2 linked regions of the Caenorhabditis elegans genome follow. The protein of the gene in region 1 purifies or fractionates together with the protein of each later gene. This does not show direct contact. Each region holds a gene or a part of one and is shown in the gene's direction. Other genes may lie near its edges.

Region 1 (3,117 bases):
CGTAACAATTCTGTTTATTGACACGAAAAAGTCGCAGATTTGGAGGAATTACGCGAAATTTGCGCGGGAAAATCACGGGCGGTTCCATTTGACAGCGCTGGTGTCCGAGGAGGTCAAGAAATGGTAAGAATTGGTGGAGAATGTTGTTCAAAATTTGATTTTCCGTAACTTTCCGGGTCCTACCGCGAACGAAAATTTCCAACTACAGTACCCCACATGGTAGCTCACGTGGTGCCAGGCTGTCTCATTGCGGTTTGATCTACAAAAATCCAGGAATTTTTCCCCTAGCAAAGAGTGACGTCAGCACGTTCTTAACCATGGGAAATCAATTGAGAACTCTGCGTCTCTTCTCCCGCATTTTTTGTAGATCTACGTAGATCAAAAAGGAGACACTCTGACACCACGTGGTAGCTGAGAAGTTTTGTTCGTGCCAAGACCCAAAGCATGGATTTGATCGAAAAAATATTATGCCAGTCCGAGTTTTTAGTCGTAATCGCAACTTTTTGGGTCCTGCCGCGAACGTAACTTTCCAACTACAGTACCCCCACACGATAGCCAAATTCGTTCGTGCCAAGACCCAAAACTGGGATTTTGGCTAAAAATGTATTTTTTTTCAGAAGAAATTGAATTTTAACGAGAAAAATTGGTTTTTTTTTCCTGGAAATTTTCGAATTTTCCAAATTTCAAATTTCCCGATCTTTCAGGTCCATCTACCCTGCCTTCATCACGATGAAGCCCTATGACCCCTTCGTAAAAGCCTTCACACTTCATAAGGATCTCAACTGGAATCGAATGGTCGACTACTTGGAGGACGGTGTACACCCGGGCTGTCATCAATTGTCAAGTCCCTCCGATTTCCTCTTCGCCACCGGAACCCAGAAGCCTCTGGTCGTATTTTTCGACCCACTGGACTCTAAAAATTCTGAAGGATTCAAAAAATCTGCTGCCGAGCAGCAAAGCGGCGATCGAATTGCTCATTTTTCGGCTGTAACCGGTTTCGACCTGTTTGGACTGTATGTGATGAGCGTTTTTAATGTGAATTCCCCGAGCTATATTGTCATTCGGCGACAGGTACTTTCACTTTTTAACTTCAAATTAAATTCATTTTTTCCAGGAAAAAGGATGGTGCATCCACACAAAACCCGCTGAAAACGACAATTTCACTGGAATTCTTTCATGGGTTCGGAATTTGGAGCCAGTTCACTGCCAGGAGCTCATTGAAAACTTCAAGTTCCCAATTGCTCGTTTGAATCTGTTGGAGCGGTATGATGACGTGGAAGAGCTAGAGAAAGGGTTCACGGCCGTGGAGTGGACTAGGGACGAGCTATAGGAATTTTAAAAAATTGCTCTGTTGTAATTTGGTAAAAATAAATAATTTAATTTGTTTTAATTTGATGTTTTACAGATTAAAATTGCATTAAAAATTTATATTTAAGAATTAATTAATTTTCCCTGCTCGTCATTTTAAATGCCAGTTCCGCAGGTACACCGCCACGGTAGATTGCGGACAAAAGAATCCTTTTTTTAGCTGTTTTAAGGAAATAACAAGAAATTTCGATGAAAATTTTCAGTTTTAAGCTTTCATACTAAGATTTAATAAAAAACAGACAATTTTAATGTAGAATTGCAGGCGATATCCTAGTTTCCACACTGAAAATCACTTGCGCGTCAAATAAAATGCAAAGTACGCATTGACACCGTCACGTCCCATTGCACACAATTTCTCAATTATTATTTTTCTTTTTCGATCTTTTGATTTTAAATCTGAAAATGGACATGATCGAGCTTGAAAAAAAGATTTCTGAAATTGAAGAAGTTCTAGGAATCGATGATCTCACCACGGTAAGCTTTTTTCGCGCAATTTCCAATAAAAATGCCAATTTTTTTTCCAGAAAACATCAATTCCCTCTCAAATCGAGGCTCTTCAATCCAAATTACGAGATGATTGTAAGGCGAATCTGCTAATGTCGATTCCCATTCAAAAGCTGGAGCATTTGAGCAAAATCGCCACGGAAGTACGTTGGAAAAACTGAATTTTCTGTGAAAAATCGATTTTTCAGACATCCGGCCCATATGGATCGCTGACTGACAAAATAGAGTCTGTAAAATACGCGGAAAAGCTGATCAATGAACGAGCGGAACGGATTAAACAATTTTCAGATGCTCTTGAGGTCTTTTTTTGCGATTTTTCAGAGAAAATTGAAGAAAAATAAAAAATTTCAGCCCTGCCTCGACCAGGAGCTCTTCTCAAAAGTGGCTGCACTTCAACCGGAGCTTGACGCTGAAATCGAAAAATACGAGAAGGCCCTGGAGGACTGGACCAAGTAATTGCAGTTTTTAAAGCCTAAAAATCTGAAATTTCCAAAATTTCAGAACCTACGGAGAATTCCAGACACTTGTCGCCGAGCGGTCAATGATCAACCAAAAAATCACCGAAAAAGTGCTGGATCTGCAGACGAAAATCAACGCAAAAGCTAAATAATTAAATATTTTTTCGCTGGATTGTAATTTATTTTTATTTTCTTTGTTTTCCTGTAAAAATTGAAATTCTACAAGTTTTTTGTTAGACAGAAAGACGAATTGGCAGCAATTATCGACTTTTCGAAGTGGGCAAGATGATGACGTTGTTTCGGGAAATTGGAAAATTTGTTTTTTTCCAATTTTTTTCCTCGCAAGAAAAATAGTTTTCTCTCCATTTGAATTACTAGATTTTTCAAAAAATTTGAACTTTTCTCCGTGGAGCGCGCTTGCATTATTAGATTTTACGAAAATTTGAATATTTCTCAGTGGAGCGCACTTACACCTCACTTTTTTCCAAAATTTTTAGTAATTCTCGATGGAGCGCGCTTGCAGCAAGGTAATTTTCAAAATTTTCCCAAAATCTCTATGTAGCGCAGTTGTAATCCAAAATTACAGCTAATTACCAGTAGAGCGCGCTTGCATCAGTATTTTTAAAATTTTTTTGAAATCAATTATCAGTGGAGCGTACTTGCATCCCAATAAATTTCATATAGTGCCAGGCTGTCCCATTACAGTTTGATCTACAAAAAATTCGGGAATCAGCACGTTCTTAACCATGCGAAATCAGTTGAGAAACCTGCGTCTCTTCTCTCGCAT
Region 2 (3,756 bases), about 12 Mb from region 1:
TTCTTCCATTTTTGAATATTCAAACTTCGGGGGATCCAGGACTCAAGCCACTCTCGCCTGTGTCCTCCATCTTTCCATTTAGAGCAAGTGTTATCGGATTTTTGACTGATAAGATGCCTATTAGGTAGGCACAGCAGGCTCGGAGGAAGCCGCCCCCCCCCCTAAATGCCCACCAACAAGTCTACAAAATGACCCAGTGTAGTATGCACTTCCGATATTTTTCATTAAACCCACCGCGGCAATGCAATTTCGAAGAGATCCACCACGAGTGTTCCCGTTTTCCAATAATGACTCCTTCAAAACGACGACAATTTGCATGTGGAGCGAGTGTTCTAAGGAATTCCAGGGATCTTCTGATTGCAAAAACTGTTTCCGGAGCTGAAATACATAACAAAATTATTTCAAATTCCCCTCGGTAAATATATGTATTCTTTTAAACAAGCTGAAACTCACCCTAGTCTTTCAGGACTTTCAATAAATAGAGTTCTTCGGACCACATCGACAACAGTCGGCCATTAACCAGTACGTCTGTTTTTCATTTCTCTCGCCAAAATTTTCATATGGTGCAATTGTAGTCGGAGTCTTGACAACAGATTGACAAACTTCTATGTGTCATGTAGATGTCCTCCTAAATTAAAAATTGTTAAAATGTGGCAGAAGACACATGCGCAATACCTCAAACATGTCATCACTCAATTCCGATCCAAACTACGATTATCTGATGTTTTCGTATCCATTGTCTTTATCAGAACTTCCTTTAGTCATGCGAGCTGGTACTTGTACTGGCGTGGTGGTCACTGAAAGTAAATGAAATTTCTGTCGGAATTTGTGAGAAAAAATGAAACATGTTTAACTTTGCAAAGCTACAAAAGATTATTTCGATAAACAGTTTTCAATTATGGAAAAAGAAACGAGCAGAAAATATGAAAGCAACAAGGATTTGAAAGCAGAAAACAATAAAAAAAAACTGTGCACCACAACGGTCTGCAGACAGCACTCTATTGTGAGAGACGCCGAGAGAGGGAGGAAGAGGGCCATGTTGCGCAGAGATCACAACACTGCGGGCACTGTGCCAAGTATCATTCCGGATGGGAGACGTGTGTGTGTGTGTGTAGTATAGACGACAAGATTAAAAAACAATGCAAGAGGCGTTTGTTTTTGTAGATCACACGTAGATCACAATGTATTTGTAGATAACAATAAAACAGAAATACGATTTGAGAGATAAATAAACTGTGATCTACGCAAAATTTACACAGAAACTGCTGAAAGTGATGACTACTGTATACGGTTCGAGAAACTTTCGAGAAACTTTCCCCAACAACTTTCTCCAACTTTGGACAACTTTCGGCGAAGAAATACAAGATAGGATATTCAAATGAATGAAAAATGTTTTTTGGTTTTATCAACTTACTTTTTGGTTCAGGTTTTTTTTTCTAGCAAGCCATTTTGTTTTCAAATGCTAATTTGTCTTGTATGTAGTTAATAAACTTCTATTTTCGGTGAACAAAATCTCGAAAACTTCATTTAAAACTTGAAATTCATCAATTCCCACTGCAAACTGCGTATCGGAATTCGGAGTCTCGTTTGGCCACGCCCACTTTGTTGTTTGAACTTCAATTTTGAAATTAACAGTTTAGAGCTCTAATTAGAGCTATATATTGCAAAATATTTCCAATGTTTTGGTGATTAAAAACTGTAACACATTTTAAATAAATATTTTTATGGAAAAATTTCCAAAAAAATCCATGAAAATTCCACAGCAACGGAAGTTTGAAATTACAGTACTCTTTAAAGGCGCGCGCGTAAGAGGATTGCTTTCTTTTTGCTCAGGTCCGCATCGAATCCTGTTGTAATATTTTGCCAGAAGTATAGGTGCATGTATTCTTATTATACTATTGGAAAATCAATAGTTTCCGATACTCTCGCTATGTATTTGTTCAGCCTCTGTCCTCCAAAGTACAAAACCCCCATTTCTCCGCGCAAATGATGCATTGTCCGCAAACACGGCGGCTGCAACTCTGCGTACATTTCGCAACTCTCATTTAATTTTGTTTCCACAGAAAATGCCAATTAATCCGGGGTTTTTTAATTGTTTCAAGCTCAAATTTTGGTTAAAACTGTTATTTTATCTTTCAGGTTACAAAATGGACTACGACGTCATCGCCAATCAGCCTGTGGTCATCGACAATGGCTCCGGAGTCATTAAGGCTGGTTTCGCCGGAGAACAGCAGCCAAAGGTAGGCAATAACGAATCAAAACTTGAGATTTTTGAATTTTGAATTTTAAATCATCTTTTAATTCATTTTTTACAGGTTCGCTTCGCCAACTTCGTCGGACGACCGAAATATCACAGAGTAATGGCCGGAGGGCTCGACGGAGACATTTTCATCGGACCAAAGGCCGAATCAAACCGCGGGTTGTTCTCAATCGAATACCCAATGGAACACGGAATCGTCAATAACTGGAGCGATATGGAAAAAATTTGGGAGTACATTTTCGGACAGGATCAGCTGAAAATCTTCCCAGAAGAGCATCCAGTTCTGCTCACCGACGCCCCATTGAATCCGTTGAAGAACCGCGAGCGATCTGCTGAGATCTTCTTCGAAACGTTCAATGTTCCAGCGTTATATATTCAAATGCAAGCTGTGCTATCGCTGTACGCCACCGGAAGAACGACCGGAGTCGTTTTGGATTCAGGAGACGGAGTCACACATGCTGTTCCGATTGTTAAGGGATTTGCAATGAAGCATGCGTCAGTAAACTCTGGGAAATTGCTTTAAAACACGCCTATGTGGTCACAATGACCGAATATCATGATAAAAAAATTCAAAAAAATTTTCTAGATTTTATATGATTTTTTTTTTTTGAAAGTTGCGAAAATCCCAGTTTTCCCCTAATTCCGGTTTGAATTTCCGCCATATGAATTCGTTCGCTGGAGCGCACTTGCATTTCATTTTATTTTTTCTCATTATTTCACTGGTTTTTCTTCATTCTTTGTGTATTTTTATCGGAATAAGAGAGAAAAATTCAAGATAAATTGCAAATTATTTATTTAAAAATCACTGAAAATGCGTAAAACTGTAAAATTATGAGTTCCGGCGATAGCAAACCTGAAATTAGCTTAGTTCACAGTTTCACCCATTTTCAGTGATTTTTAAATAAATAATTTGCAATTTATCTTGAATTTTTCTCTCTTTTTCCGATAAAAATACACAAAGAATGAAGAAAATCAGTGAAGTAATGAGAAAAAATGAAATAAAAATTTAAATTAATAAAAATAATGCAAGTGCGCTCCAGCGAACGAATTCAATTGGCGGAAATTCAAATAGGAATTAGGGGGGAAAACTGATATTTTTGCAATTTTCAAAAAATCATATAAAATCAGGAAAATTTTTTTGAATTTTTTAATCATGATATTCGGTCATTGTGACCACATAGGCGTGTTTTAAAGCAATTTCTCCATTGGGCGCACTCCACCTTTAAAAAAAGCATTTAATTCTAAAATTTCCTTTTTTCAGAATTCAACGAATGGATTTGGCGGGTCGCGATGTCACCGAATACCTCCGAGTCCTTCTGCGCAGAGAAGGATACGAGTTCCACAGGAGCAATGAGTTCGAAATTGTCCGAGAGATGAAGGAGAACGCGTGCTATTTGGCGTTGGATCCGACGAAAGTGGAGAATAATTCAGTGAAAGTAGTGATTTTTTTTGCAGTGAAAATGAGCTGAAAATCGCATTCTTTCAGTCATCCTACG

Evidence for each region. Proteins that work in one complex are often made in the same cells at the same time.
Region 2: the proteins of dnc-3 (region 1) and arp-1 purify together in Caenorhabditis elegans (affinity purification with western blotting; 2 studies listed by BioGRID, with this or other methods). This does not show direct contact.

What each region holds. Positions count from the first base shown.
Region 1 is NC_003280.10:3,552,066-3,555,182, forward strand, and holds dnc-3 (DyNactin Complex component), read left to right. Parts: upstream 1-1,714; 5' UTR 1,715-1,770; coding exon 1,771-1,842; intron 1,843-1,892; coding exon 1,893-2,015; intron 2,016-2,060; coding exon 2,061-2,171; intron 2,172-2,223; coding exon 2,224-2,324; intron 2,325-2,373; coding exon 2,374-2,482; 3' UTR 2,483-2,552; downstream 2,553-3,117. Other genes in the region: W10G11.19 (DUF4105 domain-containing protein), read left to right, coding at 1-123, 705-1,071, 1,115-1,330.
Region 2 is NC_003280.10:15,118,162-15,121,917, forward strand, and holds the start of arp-1 (Actin), read left to right. Parts: upstream 1-2,139; 5' UTR 2,140-2,147; coding exon 2,148-2,240; intron 2,241-2,315; coding exon 2,316-2,755; intron 2,756-3,521; coding exon 3,522-3,696; intron 3,697-3,746; coding exon 3,747-3,756.